2 linked regions of the Struthio camelus genome follow. The protein of the gene in region 1 interacts with the protein of each later gene in a biochemical or structural test. Links are inferred from orthologs where the notes say so. Each region holds a gene or a part of one and is shown on either strand. Other genes may lie near its edges. The genes, in order: CCNE1 and ARIH1.

Region 1 (9,701 bases):
CAGGAAGGCCTCACCTCCAAATACAGACATATTGATAAAAACCTATGTCAGTTTAAAATAACTGCTCTTTCTTCCAGGAAGAGGTTTTTGTTTGTTTCATACCAATTAGTAAACAGGTGCAGGTGTGTGCTGAGATGATTACAACCCTCCCACCACCACCACCGTCATGTGCCTCTATATAAAAGAGATCAGGTACCTTTGTAAAGCATTTTTCTGTGCCCAGGTATAGCTTCCAAAATCTACAATTCCTTTAAAAGCTCTACCTGAGCAAGAGATCTCTATCTTAACTTAGCTAAGCAGACACGTTATGTTCTTCTCTATATACCACAGGTGGTTTTGTGTGTGTGTGTGGTTTTTTTTTTTTTTTTTTTTTAAATCTGCTACTGTAATATAGCCAAGACTTGGAAAGTTAACCGCTATTAAGTCAGATGATAACTATCTCCTTGTGTCTACGATAGAAATGTTGGTTTACTTTATCCCAACTGTTACTAAATCTTAACTAATCTTAACACTAACTACCGCAGAAGTTAAGAAAATCACAGGCTTGGAAAAATCTTATTTTGAAAATCTTCATGTAGAACAGATACTGGCAACTATCCTTTCAAGTACAGAGATAAAACAAGGATCAAGTTGCTCAGAATAGCAACAAAGGCATCTGCAGAGACCACACTGGCAAAAGAAGCAAACCTGAAATCTTGCTTGGTGACAAGCAACATAATACTTGCAACACAATACTGCATTTTAAAAGCTCAAATAAAAATAATTCTTTTGGAAAAAGTGCATCTTTAACAGTCTTTCCTGTCAGCTATTCAGGTAGCTGCAACTAGATAATAATGGTAACTAGTAAAGCGAGTTACATCAGTGAAATGAACAGAAACTTCCACTCTGCTTTTTTCTGGCTACAAAGCAGGCTTCCCTCAGGCTGAGTGGAGTGAATAAAAGTTAAGTAACTTGCACTCTATTTTTGCATCACTACTTTTTTTTTTTTTAAACAAAAGAAAATACAAATGGGAGGGAGCATAACGTCTCATAATTTGCTGCTTATAAAGTCTTGTCTAGGGAATTTCATTGTTCAGCAACACAAGTACAAAGCATAATACGTCTTCAGCCCAGATGACTTCCTATCTGAACACTCACTTGTTTTCATTATTGTGTTCCAATACCACAGATCTCTCATATTTATTATGTTAAACTGCTAACGTGCCAGATAAGTCACTTTTTGCTGAATAAAAATTTACTGTCAGGCGCAATACGTGTTGAGTGAGACCATATACTTCACTTTTGAATGTTAACACTAATTCAAGTAACTCGAGACAATATCCCAACATCTCCTGGTGGTAACAAGATGGTTATACATCTTAAAGACTACGGTAAGCAGCATTTGGAACTGCAGTCAGTGAATATATCCATAGAGAAGAAAAAAAAAAAGCTGTAACTTTCTAGGTCTTTTTCCACAAGAAAAAGAGAGATAATTTAGCAGTTTACTCTTCAGTACTGAAGGGGAGAAACAAACATATTCCCATTGGGAAGCAAAAAATCTAGTTTGGAAGAGCGGTGATCTACATGCAAAAGCCAGGAATCTCTTGAAGTATCCATCATGAAAACCTATGTCTCTCTCAAGTACTGAGGAAAAGCTAGACAACTGAATTCCAGAAAGTGTTAGGCAACCATACTGATACCTATGGAAGCTCTCTTCCTTATCTCTGACCTTTATGCCTTAATAAAAGACTTTTTTTGTTATACAGCTGTAACACTATTATGTATGGACCTATAAGTTCAGCTACTTAACTTCAGAATGATTATTGTGGAATATTTACTGACACTCTCAAGAGCCCTACAATGAAATATACTAAGTCCTGAATTTCTCTAAATCTGCAGAGAAATGACTGTCATGCACCTGTCTACCTGGGAGCTAGTTCTAAAATCTACTAGAGCTCAGTCATTGCAATACAGGAGGAGAAGAGATAGACCAGTTAGAACAGCAGGCTTTATTACAACTGTTGAAAAGACAACAAGGTGTAAAATAGGAACTAAAATTCTGTGGTAATAGCGATTTTAACATTTCTCTTAAATCGCTTTCAGCTTTATGCATTTCAGCAACGAAAGTAACTGCATCTCTACCCTCCCTCAACTTTATGTATTGCTTTACATCGTGCTTTCGCTCTGCTGCTAAGGGTTTCAATGTATAATCAGTATGTAAGGAAAACAGGTAAACAAGCATGGAACGTGTGACAATGACTTTAAGAGAATTATAGGTCACTCATGTAAGCACTTCCTCTAATGCAGGAAGGCAGACCAACTACTACTCGCCACTCTTCTGATGTGGATCAAATCATCCTGTACCTCACACCGATCCTGCAACTGCCAAGACAAAACATACAGTCATAGTACAGAACTACTTCACTTTACACAGAACTACTGTACATATTTTCTTTCAGAAAGTACGGAAAGGAGGAAAACTGACTTACTCCACAGATCTTGCAGTTGAAGATTATTCTAACCGAGTAGACACATGCCTGACCGGCTCACGGGCACTGAAACCTGCCTACGTAAACATGATTCTTCCACACTGTTTATCCTTTCAACAATTTACTTCTCAGGACTCTTTCCTAATTAAGCCTTACTCTGTTCATAACCTGCTTTGTGACTTGTCAAGAATTTTGACTTTGGCCTTCTGTAATTCAGATTAAGTTTAGATCCAATCTTGCTCTGATTGTAAAGTATAATTTAAAGTTATGCCATTAAAAAAAAAAAGATTTCAAGTGGGTTGTTCTTAAAGTTTAGAAGAAAAGAGCAGCTCAGAGCACTGACTACTTGTCCATTTAAGCCATTTTTAAGTCTCGGACATTACGAAACCACGCTACCACGCCAGCAATACTGCAGGCAGGTCAAAGAAAGAGCACACCAATGCACGAAGGCAAGATGCAATGAACTTTAAAACATACCTGACCTTTCAAAGGGACATAAACTCTGTTTAAAAACTGCTGACCTACGAAGGTTACTACACCACCTTAGGTCCAATGGCAATTCAGGCAGTAGTACCTGCCTTTTCTAGCCTCTGGCTGAGAGCCGCCTTTTGGGCCTCCTCTAGATATGCAAAACAGGCAAGCTCTCTGCCAGAGGGCTATGATGGAAGGATTAAAATGGGTAGAAAAGGGTCTAAGCAGCACAAATACAACCATGGGAGAATCCTATTGCCTACAAGTGACTGAGCCATGCCTGTGCACATGCCAATCCTCCATGAGTTCACAAAAAGTGTTGCATAGAGCTAAAAATATAGTGGTTTGTCAGACTGTAAGAAGCCTCCTACAGCCAGATACCTAAAATGCTGGCAACACTAAATGTCGTAGTCAACTTTCCATCTGCTTTTTTTTTTTTTAATTGACTTGTTTCTTAAAAATTGATAGCAATCCTACTTCAGTAACTTGAACTGTGCAGCTTTTTCAATTGCTCTGCATGCACTCAATACATGGCTTAGGTTTCAAAAGCTAAGAAGGCTTACTCTATTAAAACTACATCTTGTATTTTGACCTTCTTCCTAAACTCTGTGTTTAAGATGCTTTCAGTAAGTTCTAGGTATACTTGGACTCAACGTTTTAAATGCTAGCTATAAAGAAGCAGCTTTGCGTAAATACTGCCACAAGAAGAATGAAAGCCAATACTTACAACTCCGGCATCCTTGTAAGTTTCTGCCTCTCGACAAGCTTGATCAACGATCTGGGTCAACGGAAGAGAACTTCTCGGCGTCCCTGCAAGAACAATGCTGCTTACCCCAGTGCAAGGGGAAATCAAAACCAGGCAGGGTAAGTTTTCAGTTAAGATAACTGCAGGGATTAGCATAGTGAAATAGGCAGGAACAGGTAAACTTGCTAAAAGGCTGCTGTGTCTCCTTGTGGCATGCCTTAACGGCATCTCTTTCCTTAACTGAACTTGACCTATCCACTCTCGCGGTTCAGCTCCTAAAACCAAGTTCTCAAACTTGAGGAACATCCACTATAATCTCTCATTGCACCCAATCTGCCTTTAGCTTGTCATTGCTGTACTTATTACTGCTAATCCTTCATCAGTGATGCTCATGCAACATAACCTAGGGCAAGGGCAGACCACTGGCTCTGCAGAACACCTGCACGAAACACGAGCTGACTTTAAGATTGTTTGAACTATATTAAAACTCTAACTTGCAAGGCTGGTAGCGTCTGATCTTCAGCTACTCCTGAAGTAAGAACTTCCTGACAGGAAAGAACGCTCAGCACGGGTTTTGCTTGAAAAAAGCAAAAGTTTTCCTCAAGATAATTCTGAAGTCTTTTCTGACCACGTGGGCTCCTAAAGCCAGGTACCTGGAGCCTGAGATCTGCACTCGGAACAGCTCCTCTGGCAGTCTTTAGCCCGACTTAACCCGACATGGCGCGGTGCAAGCTGGCCGCGGTGCTCGGAAGCTGCTTCGGGGAAGGGGAAGGCGCGGGGCAGGGCGGCTCCGGGCCCGGCCCCGCGGCTGCAGCTGCGGCCGCCCCAACCGCGGGGCGCAGCGCTGCCGGCGGCCGCTACTCCGTCCCCGCGCTCGCTGCCGCCACCCCCCACCCCACCCGCCGCCTCCAAACCTCCTCCCCGCAGCAGCGAGGCGCCCAGCCCGGCCAACACCTCGGCTGCGGGCGCGCAGCCATGCTCCGCGGCTCCCTGGGGCCCGGCCGCGGCCGCGGCCGCCGCCCCCTCCCGCACGCCGGGGCCCGGCCCGGGCCTGCCCCGCGCCGGCGACGAGCGGCAGCCGCGCCCCCGGCTCAGGCGCGGCCCAGAGGGGCGGGGGCGGCGCCGGCGAGGGGAAGCGAGCACCTTACCTGGCAGCGCGGCTGCGTGAACCGCGCCGACCACGGCCGAGCGGGGCCGCCCGAAGAGCCGCCGCAGCGCCATGGCCGGCGGGGCAGGAGGGCACCGTCATGGCGGCGGTGCTGCCCCGCCCCGCCCCGCCCCGCCCCTCGCTGACCGCGCCGGGCCCTCGCCGCCGCCTGTCGACGCGCCGCGGGCAGCTCCCGCCGCCGCTTCCGCGTCGGGCCCGCCGGCTCCTCCCCCCGGCGCGGCCCCGCCCCGCCCCGCCCGCCCGGCCCGACCCGGCCCGGCCGCGCGGGTGCCCGCGCCCTGCGGCGCCCTGCGCCGCTTGGCCCCGGCGCCCCGCCGCGCCGCGCCGCGCCGCGCCGCGCCCCCCCGCAGACCCCGCCCCGGCCGGGCCGGCGCTGGGCGCGGGGCCACGTGTGCGGCCCGGCGGGCGGGCGGGGAGGCGGCCCCGCGCCGCGCGTTTAAATGTCCCGCTCGGCGCGGGCCGCGCTGTGCGCAGGGACGGGAGCGGCCGCGCCGTGAGGCAGGAGGCGCCCAGCGGAGCCCGCGCTCCCGCCCTGCCCTGCACCCCGCCGCTGCCGCCGGGCGGGCAGCGCTCGCTCCCTCCCTCCCTCGCCCGCCGCCCTCTCGCCCGGGAAGGCGCCGGCGGGTCGGCAGCGCGGGCCGCTGCGGGCGGGACAGGGCAGGGCAGGGGGCGGCGGGGCCGGGGCTGCGGCCGGCGGTGCCCGGCCCTTGCCCGCGCCGCGCGCCCGCGGCCCTTTGTGGCGGCGGCGGCGGCCTGCTCCGCCCGCCCGCCCTCAGCGGCCGCCCTCGCCCGCGCAGGGCCGCAGCTCGCCCCGGCCCAGGCCGGCACCATGCGCCGCGAGAGGTGAGTCCCGCGGGCGGCCGCGCCGCCGCCGCCTAGGCCCGGGCCTCCGCGGGGGCCCCCGCCCCGGGGTGCCGCTGCCTCCATTTCTCCTCCTCTCTCGGCAGTGACCACGGCGAGGAGAAGGCGCCCGCCAAGGGCGAAGGGGGCGCCGAGGGGGCCGTGCGCGCCCGAAAGAGGAAAGCCGATGTGGCCACGGTGAGTGCGAACCCAGCCGGCAAAATGGCTCGGGCCGGCTGCGGCCCCGCTGCCCGTCTCTGCGCCGTGGCTGCCCCGAGGTCGGGCCTGCAGCCCCTCGTCCCGCTCTGCGCGGCCCCCGCCGCCCGTGGGCAGGCGGTGGTCTGCCCACCGCCCGCCCCGGTGGGCCCGACGCCCGCCGCTGTCGCGAGCGGCACGTTTCCCCCTGCTCCGTCGCTGTAATTTGAAATTATCTCTCCCTTTCTGTAGTTCTTGCAGGATCCGGATGAAGAAATTGCCCAAATGGAAATGAACAGAAAAAAGCAGTATGAAAACCAGGTAACTGCTTTGACCTCAGGTCATGGTAGCATATAACCACATGTAACTTTACTATTATTTTACAGCGCTTCGTTACTCTTGGGAACACGGTAAAGCTGCCACGTGCTGTACAGCAGTGGTTGAGGGGGCTATCAGCCATGGATGATGAAAAGCACAAAACTGCTCAGTTCATACAGCTTGCTTTGGAGTCTTTGCAAGAGATGAGGGAGGCCTGCATTGGTCTAAAATGTTAATACTTCAGCATTTCCAACTTTCCTGGGATTGTAAGGGTTCAACTTACAGAGGCCTTAATATGCACTTAATTCTACATGGGGAGACCCTGTACTGACTCCTCTAGAGACCTCTAAGAGGACAGTGATGTGCTTACATGTGTACCTTGCAGGCCAAAGCATGAGACACTTAAGCATATGAACAGAATCATCTCTTGAGATGGAGCTTTTTGCGTCCATGTCTATACTTAGGCTGGGAGAGGGGAAAGATCGTTCATTCTTTTCACCTTCTGCTCCATTCCTGCTCAAAAATATCGTCGTCAGACTGCCAGAAAACAAGGAGTTACTGATTAGAGCTTAGAAGTTTATAATATTAGATGCTAATGTCGTGGTGAAGTGTTAGGCTCGGTCCCTCTAGAGCAAAAAGGGATAACTTCTATAAAACCACTTAGGCTGTGGAAATTGGGCCAGTAAGGGGAGGCTGGTGATGACCATCACCAGTTTCCTAAATAGGATACTCTGAATGATCTGAGGTAGGAAGTCAAAACTAACTGTCACCTTAGGGTCCTCTTCATAGTCTTCAGACATGACATGCACGATGCTTTCAAACATTGAGATGCCTGCTCTAAATAAAACAGCAAGATTAGCCTACTTTCTGAAATGGGTTTATCCCCTGTCTTAGGGCATGAAGAAAGACTGCGCACTTGCATGTACACATGCACGCTCTGTCACTAGGACTTCAGCCAGTTAATGCGCATGCGGGATGATACTCACACTGCAAAAGTCATGATCAGGGAGTTCAGGCAGCGCTCATTTGGTACGCAAGGCTATGCATAATGTGGCACATCTAACCAGAAGTGGCAGCTGGAAGTTCTAAGTCTAAAGTGCTACCATAACAGATGGGCATCATTGTTTGGAATGGCCTCTGCTTGTTGCAACTGCGTATGCTAGTTATCAGTCAACATATTAAGCAGGGCTCAAATGGTGAGCATTTAATGAGAGGATCTCTTTCCCTTCTGTCTTTCTTTTGTGCATATTAAACTAATTTCTCACTTCTGACAAGGAAGAGCTGCCTGTCCTTCACCACAGTTCCCTTCTTCACCAAAGGTTTCATTCTGTGTGAGCTATGCAATGGCTTTTTGTGTGCAGTTATTGCGTAATAATAAGTATTGTTTAAAAAATCCTACCATGGACCCAATTTTGCCCTTCTTCAGAAAGATAATGGAAAGAAACTTGAAATATGTTTTACATACAGTGACCTTCAGCACTGAAAGTAGGTAAAGACTTCCAATTCTGTATTCCTGTTTTGTCTTACTAGCTTAGCAGCCATTAAATGTGACTTTGTGAATGATGGGCGTATTAAAACTTAGATAATCTAGGCAGTAGGCATTTCAAAATGCAGATTTAGGAATTTTTCAAGTTAAGCTTAGGATACTGGTGGGAATTAGGCCCTTGAGTTTGGTAAACCATAAATAAAATGGGTACCTGTGTATCAGTCTGTACATGGAGAAGATTTTTTGTCATAACAAAGTAGCCAGATTGTTACAGATCTGTTTAAAAAAAGCTAACATTTGGCTGCACAGCAGCAGCTCTTCAGTCTATGGTGTGACACAAGCTATTCTCTGATATAAATTGCCATGGGCCACTAATGAGAATATGTTTATGGTTCCAGCAGCAGTATAGCAAGCTTGTATGATAGCCAGTGAGATGGTTATGCTGTTGTGGCATGCTAATTCTAAACTGCAAGTAGCTATAAATCCAGTACAGCCTATACCACGTGACTTCTACATTAAATAAATTGTTTACTGATGCTAGTTTATACACGAGGCAAAAGACTATTGTCGCATCCCACTTTATAGCATCTTCATATTCAATTCATTAGTTTGTTTCTGTTGAACATAAGGCATGAGTTCTTAATTAGGATGCCGTTACCCTTTATGTGATGAAAGGGTGGCTATATCATCAGGTTTGTGACGGCGGAATATTGCATAAATTCTGTATTTGATTTTGGAGAACTGGTACTGCTGTAATTCTGCTAGTAATTCTCATATTAATTCTGGCTGCTTTCTGTGGACTGATACGCTTCCAAGGCTCAATGTAAAACAAAATTCATCTAACTAGATTATTGTAACCCATGTAATCTTGATACAAAGTACGTGGCCTCCAAATCTAGAGCAGAGAATTTTAACTCAAAGTGGTACCACTTTGAGTTTCAACTAATCCACATTTTCAGATTTAAAAAAAAGCTTTCAGGAAATAATTGTTGTTAATTTCTCATGAGACACTTTTCCAGAACAGACTTACAATTCTCAAAATGTTCCACCTAGGCGTTTTAAAAAATATCCTCTGAAAAGATTCTTTAACTAGTCTAGGTTATGTTTGAAAGACCTAATCCGAAAAAATGGAAAATTTTGAAGCAAACGAACAATGTGAGCTGTATCAAAGTTGAGACTGACTTTACCCTAATGTGATGAAGTACAATATTCAAATTATTTTAGAGATTAAAAATACCGTAAGGTCCTATGCTGTTCAGAAAGAACTGAAGCAAGCTAATTGTGTGAGTTGCTCTTCTGTTTCCTACTTTGTCATCAGAAAGGGGTTCTAGTGCCCTATACTTCAACCTAGTGCCTCCTGTGAGTGAAAAATGGCTAGGATTACTTCTGATCGGTAAACTATGAAGGCTGTAGTGTGATGTCTGTCTGTTCTGAGATGCTGCTTTTTAGAGTGAGATGAATAGACCTGTTCCCCCTCCTGCTTCTTTGACTTCAGGTTTCCATGCTGAAAATCCTCCTTCCCCGTGCCTCTCTGGGCTCCTGCATCTGCAGAAGTTTCTTCTGGTGGCTCTCAGCTTGTGCCACGATGCGCTGGTGTCTCAGTAGCTAGTGTTCCTGGTTGTAGCTGCTTTGTTGAAGGCTCTAGCTGAAAAGAATAACTTGAATGGCCAAAACCTGCTTAATTTTATATCTGGCTTTATGCTTGAAGGGTGTCCAAAAGATCCATTTAAACAAATATTTGATACGTTTGTGAATGAAGGCATGATGTAGAACAACTGTTGAGGCATAATAATAATAATAAAATCTCTGAACTCCTGGATTTTTTTGTTTGGAGCGAAGGTGCTTGACTGTTCCCGTGGACTGTTTGATCACCTACCTCTTGCTCTTCCTAGTGTTTCTTCTCCTTATGAGCCTTTGTGTGTCCTCATTTTACTTTTTCCTATATATGTATCTGGAATATAACTGTAGGTGTCACTGAGCTTTCTTGCTGGGGTCCCATTTGCCTCTGGG
Region 2 (9,570 bases), on another chromosome or scaffold:
AAAGAGAGCCCTAAATCCATGCCTGGTGTATTTTGATTAGCTGCATCCTTCACTAACAGCCCGGTCCGTATGGAACATCTGTGTTTTGGGGGGACTGGAGCAGGCCAGTGTATGGCAGTCTGCCCTATCAGTGCTTTCAGAGCCGCAAACGCATGTCCCGGCACTTTTCAGAACGCAGGCTGCAGGGGGATTACTTCTTATAGCTCTGCATTTTCCACCTTGTCCACTGCATGTCACGCTATATGCTGCCGTTGAGTGGCTTAGCAGATGCATGTGGTAAATGAATTTCTCAGCACAGATGGAGTTCAGCAGAAGGGACCTCTTCAGATGAGAGAGCACATGTAAGGGGAGCGAGGCCTAGGAGATGCAGTGCTAGCAGACAGGAGCATATCTCAGCTCTGGGCATGTTTGAGGAGTGGTACTTTAACAAGTATGAACTTAAAAATGGAGTTTAAGGCAACAAGTTTGAGGTGAGATGTGTTAATCAGTCTGCAGGATTTGGGTTCCTGACTGCAGAAATGATGCCGAGTTCAGCCCGGAGATATTTGCACTATTGGTATTATTTGCAAAGCTTTTTCCCTCTGGACTATGTGCAGCTTGCACAGCTTTTGGGTGGCTGAAAAAACTGCAGTGATCTGAGGGGCATCTCAACTCAGGCTTGCAGCTGAGGTAGTTAATGGGTGTGCTGGCAGCCGAATCAAACCCAAGGGAGGGCATCAGAAGCTGGGCACAGAGAAATCTCCTGGCTTTCTTTTTCCCAAGCTCCACATGTAGGGGAGCTCCACATTTATTGGGCGATAGAGAAGGGCTCTTTCCAGAGAGCCGTCTGCCCAACCCAGCTGGCCCAGGAGCGATGGAGCAGGAGGGAGGCCACAGTGCAAGTGGGTGAGATACGGGCTTTGCTCCAGGGCACTTCTGTGGCTTTTTGGTAGAGTCAAGGGGTGCTCAGGCTGGATGGGAGCTGGGAGTGCTTGTGTCGGTGCTGGATGGAGATCATTTTAAACATAGGGCCCTGCCGGGCGCTCGCAGGCAAGAGGGAGGCTGCTGTGACTTGTTGTGGAGGCTGAATACACGTGGCTGCTGTCCCTGCTGCCTCTTAATCATGTCTGTGGGTCTAAGCGATCAGCTGAACCGGAATCAATCAAGAGCCTGTGCACGTGTGCTGAAAAATTCCTCAGTCTAGAAATGAAGTGAGTGTGCAGACAGACCCTGCTCCCGTAAATCCCTTAAGCGTGTGCTTAACTTTACGGAGGAAGGTGATTACAATGCAATATTTTATTCTTGTCAGCTTCAGTGCTAACAGTTACTAGAATCACTTGTGCAATTAACCTTTTGCAAGAATAAAATGAAAAAGCACCAGGTGCCTATGGAGTTCTAAATCATTTTTCAGATTGGACAGAACAGCAGTTTTCAACTTTCTTCTGCAGCTGGAGTCCTAAAATTTCCAGAGGCAGTGCAGGTATCCTCGTAACACATTGAAGGCAGCAGCCCTGCTTTCCTCAGGTACTTTTCCCTGCGAGGCTGCGGGCACCTGGGGCTCCACAGGCTTCAGGGTGACAACCACTAGTTTGGAAACTTTATAAGGAAAGGAAAACCAAGAATAATTAGAGCAATGATTTTTTCCAAGGGGCATAGCTAAAATTTCATATCAAGGAATATTTTTGAGAAGTGTGGATTATTGTTTTAGCTGTGCTCTTTAAAAGCAAACTAGTCTTGTCATTAAGTAAGACTAACACTCGGAGTTCAGAGGGATAACCACGAGCAAAGTGGCGATAATATGTCTTGCAGGGGAGAAGTCAGCTCTTCTAGCGTAAAGATAAGGCTGGGACTGCAGGAGGAGAATCATATTTCTGTGCCTGTGGGATGGCATTCTTTGCTGCACAGAGAAGATCCCATCACTCCTTATAAACGTTTACTAACGGGATTATATGAGAAAGGGAAACAGTTGGGTTTGAAAGGTAGCAGTTGTCTAACATCTCCCCTGTGTTGGTTGAGGAGGAAGAGAACTAGAGCGCGCTTACTGCGGTTGTATCGGGGGCTGCCTTGACTGCTGGTTCTCGCAAAGGGACGGTGAAATTTTGTTAATGCCTGGAGATTTGTTGGCACATTGTGAGCCTGAACTCAACCTGGTTTCCTTGCTATATACATGACCAAGAGAGTATAAATGTATTTCTAAATGACTGTGCTTTGTGCTACTGAATGCGCTGTAGTGAGATTACCCTGCACATTGAGGTGGGAACGTGCTACGCCAGAAGGAGCTGCAGGCGTGGTTCTTCCCCCACGCTGTTCAGAAGGGCTGTGCACGGTGATCGTGTCCATTTGGTGTCTAATATCTCATCTCACAAGAGATGCAAAGCTAGTTATCCCACTGTGAGTGTCCAAGGGAGGCAGATACGTCAGAAGAGGTGTGGGGAGAGAAGACAGCCCTGAGAACGGTGAGCGTCTGGGATAGGGAATCCAGACACTGCTCTCCAGAGCCTGGAGGGAAGCTGTGCACCCTCATCACTGATCAGGGCTTGGGGGGCTCACACCAGCCTTCAGCTTACGTTACTGTAGCCAGTATCTGGGCCCTGAAGAGCTGCAGATAGTCCAAGGCGCACGAGAGGACCGTGCTTTGGGAAAGGCTGGACTCGTGGGCGCTGTGCAGCATCGGCAGGGGCCAGGAGAGGGCACCGGGGAGGCGTTCACAGGCCCCGGGCAGCCTGCCCCGCGCCAGGCGGTGTCAGGGGCCTGCTGCAGGTCTACCCCTGCCCAAATCCGCCACCCTCAGCGCTGCCCTTCTACCTAGGTGGCCCCAGGAGGAAAAAGCAGGTTAGCAAAGACAGAGGTAGTCTTGTCCCAGAGAGGAAAGTCATCTCCAGCAAAGGGTTGGACCCAGTTTTGTGGGTCAGCAAAAACATAGCCTATGGGAGCCAGCAAAGCTCTGATAAAACAAGAGCCTGATGTCCAGGCAAAACCTCTCTGCAAGATTTCTCAGCTCCCTGGAGTCCGGCAGACTCTGCGGCAGATACGTTGCCGTCCGCTGGCTCACGCCTGCTCTCCTCTTGGCCAGAACCCACGTCACGAGCTGGGCCTTCAGTGCAGAGCCCCTGGGGGTGACACCCACCGCTGGGACAGCGCGCCTCTCCGTGACCTCTCCTGCTCCAGGACACCCAGCTGTGCTGGGCAGCAGGCGATGGCCAGGCTGGGCAGCTTGTCTGGCACGGAGGCTCCAGGAGCAGGAGGGAGGCTCCAGCGCGGGCCCTGCAGCATCAGAGGAGGTACAGGCGCCGCGAGGAGGACGTGTGACAGCCAGCTGAGCCACAAACACTTGACATGTGAGATGGGACAAGCCTGGCAAACGTCCAGCTGGTAAGTTCAGAGCTGAACAAAGCCAGTGCTATTTATATTTATGTAGGGCAGGATGATTAATGCCCAGGCCTTTGCCATCCCCAAAAAGTAATTAGGAAACTGGCTTTATTTACCAGCTGGCTTGGCATGAGGCAATATATGTGGCTGGCCCACAGGCCTCCCCAGCTCAGCCTGAGCCTCCCAGCCCCTCTGGGACGGCACTCCTGACCCTGCTCCCGCTGCTGCTCCCAACCTTCTCGGGGCAGGCCAGAGCTTGGGGACAGCAGGCACCAGCTGCCCCGCTGCAAGCTGTATGTATGGAGACAGAGGCAGGGCCCCTTGCAAGGAGGGTCTCGGGCTGCAGGCGTTACCCCTCCTGCCTCCTAGGACCCACTGCGGTCAGAGCCGGTGGCTGCTGGGGCACACTGCCAAGCTCTCGTCTTTCCCTGGGGAAGAGGAGTGTTTGCAGGGGCTCGCATGACAACTGCTTGGGGAGGACACGGGGCAGTCGTGACTGCGGCAAATTCACTTGAAGCTGCTGTGATGCCAAGAAACACCCAGGACTGTTCTTCAGAGCTGCTTGTGTATCTCAAGATGCAGGCTGGTAGGCAGTGAGGTTTCTAGAGGCACCTACCCAGGAAGTCGGACACCTAATCTGCTTGGATCCACAAGGGCACCTACCTGTGTCACTCTGAACTTAAACCCCTGGCACAGCGGCCATCATTACGCTTTATAGACACCACCAGAAAATAAACACCCCTCTAGCTTTTTGGAGGTGCCTTCTAATTTTCTGCAAGTGCCGCTGCCTGTTTCACAAGGTCTTTGTTATTTGTGCTGCGTTAGTACTGAGGAAGCAGGAGCTGGGAGCAGGATCCCGCTGCGCAAACACAAAGCACCGCGGTGACTCCTGCCCAAAGAACTGATAAAACTCGCCCCACCTGCGCTGCATACCGTGAGGCTGAGTCTCCCTTGCCCTCCAGGCGCGAAGCCATTTTCATCCAGGCAAAGCAGGTGAAGCGCGTGTTACCACATCACAACAGCCCCACTTCACCCGGCTAGAAATGACTCTGCAGGGCACGAGGAAGCAGAGGTGGAGAAGGTGGCCCCGGAGCCCTCCCGGGGCTGTGCCGCCTGCTCACATCCCTCCACAGTGAATCACAGCAGAGGATGTGCTATCAGCTGGCTCCCCTCTGGGCCAGCCTGCAGCCGGTTACCAAGCCAACCGGAGTCCCCGGTGCCCCCCGCACGGCGGCAGGCAATAAGCCCAGCTAGCCTCGCCTGCACCTCAGCCAGGCCGAGCAGCGAGGAAAGCTCAACGGCGGGGAGCAGGCTGAGCGGCCCGGCAGGGACGGGCCCACCAGGACGCAGCGCTGGCCCTAGGCGCCCGGCTCAGCCCCAGCCGCTCGCGCAAGAGCCAGGCCTGCTTTTGCAGGGCCGCGAGGCCCGCTCTGCCCCCCTCCTAAACGCCGAATAAGCGACGACGCGGCCTCTTCGCACAGCGCTTACGCTGCGAGGAGCTTCCCCGGGGCTGCGCGGCCCAGCGAGGAGCGGGGGCCCAGCCCGACGGAGCCGCCGAGACCCGGCCGCGCTTATCCCCGCTGCCCCCAAGCTGAAGCAGGGAGGTGCCGCCCGGCGCGGCCGGGGTCACGCGAGGCCGCCTGTTCTGCAACCGGGGAAAGGCGGCCGGCCGGCCGGCGGCACACCGGGCGCCGGGGCGGGGGAGGGCCGCACGCAGCATGGCGCACACAATGCCCGCGCCATCCCCAACATGGCCGCTGCCCGCCTCCCCCCCCCACTCCGCGCCACACTCAAGATGGAGTCGGGTCGGGGGGGGGAGTGGCGCGCACTCCGGATGGCCCTCCCCGGCGTCGGCGCCTGAGGGGAGATGGCGGCGGCGGCGGCGCAGGCGCGGCACGTCACGCCGCGGCGCGTGACGCGCCGCGGCGTGACGTGCCGTGCGTGCGCGGCGCGCGGTGACGGAGCGGGTCCGCCGCGTCCCTTTGTTGGCTCGGCGGCGGCGGGCGCTGCGGGGCGGCGGGCAGCGAGCGGCCGCGCCGGGCCGGGCCGGGCCGGGCCGCGCCGGGGCAGCGCGGGGGCGGGCGGGCGGGCAGGCGCCGGCGGGGGGGCGGGAGCCGCCGCGCCGCCGCCGCCGCCACCACCACCACCGCCTCGCCATGGACTCGGACGAGGGCTACAACTACGAGTTCGACGAGGACGAGGAGTGCAGCGAGGACAGCGGCGCCGAGGAGGACGAGGAGGACGAGGAGGAGGACGAGCCCGACGACGACAACCTGGACCTGGGCGAGGTGGACCTGGTGGAGCCCGGGCTGCGCGTGGGCGGCGAGCGCGACGGGCTGCTGGGCGGCGAGACGGGCGGGCTGGGCCCCGGCGGCGGCGGCGGCGGCGGGCTGGGCGGCGGGCCGGGCCCCGGCGGCGGCGGCGGCGGCGGGCCCGAGCAGGAGGAGGACTACCGCTACGAGGTGCTGACGGCCGAGCAGATCCTGCAGCACATGGTGGAGTGCATCCGCGAGGTCAACGAGGTCATCCAGGTGCGGCACCGGGAACCGCGAAGCCGGCGGAGGGGAGGGGAGGGGAGGGGAGGGGGGCGGCCCGGTCGGGCCCGCGGCTCCGGGGCCCTTCGGCGGGGGGCGGCTCGGGGCTGCCCCGCTCCCCGGCCGCGGCGCCGCCGCCTGGCCCTCTCCTGCCTGCCTGCCTGCCCGCCGCCCTACAACCGCGGCGCCTCCCGACGGGGCCCGGCCGCGCCGCCGCTCTTTCCGGCGGCGACCCGCAGGGATGCAGAGATCCCCTCGGAAAGCGCAAACTTTCCTTGCCGTTTTTAAGCGGGCCGTTGTGAAAACGGAGCTGCCGAGCTGAGCGCAGGATAACGCTGCCTTCAAACGGCCCTGCTCCGGTCTTACGTGCTGGCCCTCCTGCTTTTGGGAAAACGTTCAAGCCAGCCCAGCCGTCTAACATCCCTTCCTGAATGTCTGTGGCTAGGTTTTGTCCCAGCTTGCCCGAAGTTTCTGAGGCCGTTCGCTGCTTCTACAGGTGACCCGCATGCATGGGTTTTCTTTTGTTCCAGTTTAGTCAGTATTAAGAGTCACAGCTAATAAGTGAAAGTGCTTCTGCTCTTCCAGTAGGCCCACAGAGGTAGCGTGGGGAGAGCTACAGATTGTAACATCTTGGGAGGACGCAATGCCCAGAAATCAGTTGTTTGCTAGTTGCGGGTACTCTTTTGCCTAAGATTGTGCGCTCTAGAGTGGTTGTATTCGCAGCTTTAAAATGTTGCTTCACATGCTTGATGCAAACAACTGCCTAAACGTTCATCTAGTAAATTAGTAAACAACACTTCAGAAGTCGAAATAAAATTAATAACCTTAATAATAGTACCATACACGTTAGGCTGAATAAAGGAGTCTAAACTAACTTTCTCATTACCAGAGAGCGCAGCTCAAGAGGGTCTCTTCGTTAAATACGGATATTTCTTTGTCGCTAGTCATTGAGCCTAATATAGCGGAGCAAATGGCAAGTAGACATGCAAATGGGAAGTTAGACATGCAAATGTTTCATAACCTAAAGTATTTACTCTTTGAAATAGTGGTTAAAATGGTAAGTATGCCTTTAATGACTGAGGCTGTGAAAATCGCATCCCTTACCGATTGTATCGAGCAGATTCTACCGTTTGTCTTATCTCTCTGTAAGCAAACTGGTAGAAATGTCCCTGCCATTGAGGAGTAGTGAATGTTCCTGCTTGTGGTTTTTTCCAGTCTTGGCCCACACGGTGAATTCGCCTACCTGTTCTTTGTGAAGTAATTTCGTAGCTGAGGTCCTGGTTTCTTGTCCACGTGTTTTTCTTCTCTTACACTGCCCTCGAGCCGTGCAACTTGTGCGCTTGAGAGCAGCAGAAACAGTGGACAAAGGCCAATAAAGGTAGAGGACTCTGCTCCCTTTCTTGTACCTGGGGTAACTGCAGAAGGCCTGACCCTGTGATGGGGATCCCGATTTCATTGGGATCCGCAGGAGAATTGCAGACTGCCTACGCACAACAGCCAGCAGTGGATGTTAGTTACACCTTAGTTATTAGCAGTAGATTTGCAGTTATTACTCCTAGTTTAAGAGAGAAGAGTACAGAAAACCAGTTTATGTTGAGAGTAGTAATGAATAAGCTCACGAGCTAAAATCAGCTTAAGTAGTAGAATATGTCAGAAGAAGGTAGAAAAACATTCAGTTGTCTTGAATTGCTTTTAAAGGCCAGCTTACTGCTATTAGTTTTCTAGTCTGTTCAGAGGTGAGTGAGCTTAATTCAGCTGATGCTTCAGTATTTGCTCATCCTCACTTCTGTTGCTTGTGGTGAAAGCTTCCAGGGCTCTGTACTGTTTATTTCCTGCTTTGGCGCCCAACCAGGATTGCTGCTGCCACTTTTCTGGTTCGCTAAACCTTTTCTGGAGTCGCATTGGCTCAGGATCCTGCTGCAGATCCTTGGTTGCAGGCCTGTGATTCACTTGTTCCAGCCTAGTCCTAAAGGGTTTTGGTCTCTGTGTATCGAAATTCAGATCTTGGTGTCAAATGATAATGGTTGCAGTCCCAGTTTATAGTGCTTGATAACTTAGTGAAGTTGCGATGCAGAAGTGCTCTATACCTGAAAAGGTTGGCTGCAAGTCTTCTGCCCTCTCTCTCATCAGCGAAGGCACCAATTTCTGATCTGAAATAAGTATAAATATGATTTTGTTTTTCAAGCTAATCATCTTTGCACTTGCAATGAAAGGAAAAGGTATCAGTAAACAACAGAACATCTGCGTGGAGATGAGACGTGGCTGATATAACTCCTGTACGTAGGGAGTTGGGCCTTAGTCTATATTAAAAGACTGTGTTTGAATAGCAGTTTATTAGCTGATAGCGTTAGCTGAAGAGAGCGAATTAAATTTACTTTCCCATCCTTTTAGTCGTTTCCAAATACCAACTGTGTATGCATGTATATGAAAAACCCCTTAAGACAGGGATTTAATCTGATGAAGATCTTGCTGAAATAGTAGCTATCTTGTGACAGATTTGTTGGCCGCTGCGTGTATAATTTGTGCTGGTAGAGTGTAATGTGCTCTTGAAGATGACTGCTTAGTACTGCTGCTTTTTGGTCACTCGGCCTTCTAAGACCACTAAACTTACAGTGAACTAAGGAGGTTTCAGGATGGCTCAAACGTTCAGAATATTTTGCGTTCAGTGTCTCTGCGGACTTGCCTGAGCGTAAGCAGGATTTCAGGTGCTTAATGATGATTTTGCAGACTAGTTAGCATTTATGCTGATAATCTGATTTGACTCTGCGCCACACAACAAGAATTCCCCTTCTCCCCCCCAAAAGCAAAAATAAGCCCCTTAACCTTGTGCTGATGACTGGCTGAGACTTTTAAACCCAACCTTAGATCAGAGTGTCCCTTCCATTATGTCACTCTAGTTTCGTGGCATAGAGATTTATTCGGCAGGTTATTTCGAATTTTAGCCGTCAAAGTGAACAGGCAGATCTCTTGCATGTTTTTCTTGGAGAATCACTTGCAGAACAGCTGTGAAAATGTAGACGTAGAGGTAGATGTCTGAGAGGTGGCATTAAACAAAAGATTTTCTTATTTGAAAGGTATTTTCCCACAGTACTTCACTGTACTCTTCCTCTCGGAGCTTCAGGAAGAAGGATTGTCCGAATAAGTTTTTACCTGCCCTCCCCCTTTATAGCAGATTACTATTTATATCTTTGCTCCAGATTTCTGAAAATAAACTTGAAAATGTTTAGAATAGCATGTTTATTCCTACTCTGAATAGAGCACCTGATGATCTGTGTCCCTGGACTTGCTCAGTTCAATTTTCTCCTTGCTTTGTTGCCAGTTTGTGTGATTGCAGTATTTCTGGATTGGGTTTGTTTCCCCTTTTTGGTCACCTTTTCTGGAGCGTCTGAGTGATATCATTGTGATGTCACTGACCATATTTGTTCTGTCTGGACTTTGTAACTGGTAAAGGTGCCGAAAACATCGGGATGCATGTCAGGTTGATATGGCAAAAATTGCTCAAGACCCATGTTTAAAACAAAAACACAGAAAGGGGAGTAGAGCAGAATTGTCTTTTTTTTTTTCCACCCTCCAGCAGGAAGCAGGTCCCTGGAAGTTGCTGGGTGTCCTGACTGGCCCACACTAGATGCTTGGGAGGATGTCAGACTTCAAATGTGTTTCCTTTGGAAGGAGCTGGAGTCACCAGATC

The links.
Region 2: of the proteins of CCNE1 (region 1) and ARIH1, one has a biochemical effect on the other in vitro, tested with the Homo sapiens proteins (3 studies listed by BioGRID). The link is inferred for Struthio camelus from reciprocal best matches to the Homo sapiens genes CCNE1 and ARIH1.

The regions. Positions count from the first base shown.
Region 1 is NC_090951.1:14,455,895-14,465,595, reverse strand, and holds the start of CCNE1 (G1/S-specific cyclin-E1), read left to right. Parts: upstream 1-5,576; 5' UTR 5,577-5,681; coding exon 5,682-5,695; intron 5,696-5,799; coding exon 5,800-5,890; intron 5,891-6,139; coding exon 6,140-6,208; intron 6,209-9,701. Other genes in the region: C10H19orf12 (protein C19orf12 homolog), read right to left, coding at 3,667-3,749, 4,833-4,905. UniProt on the Homo sapiens protein: Essential for the control of the cell cycle at the G1/S (start) transition.
Region 2 is NC_090953.1:24,862,190-24,871,759, reverse strand, and holds the start of ARIH1 (E3 ubiquitin-protein ligase ARIH1), read left to right. Parts: upstream 1-5,444; 5' UTR 5,445-5,504; coding exon 5,505-5,879; intron 5,880-9,570. UniProt on the Homo sapiens protein: E3 ubiquitin-protein ligase, which catalyzes ubiquitination of target proteins together with ubiquitin-conjugating enzyme E2 UBE2L3.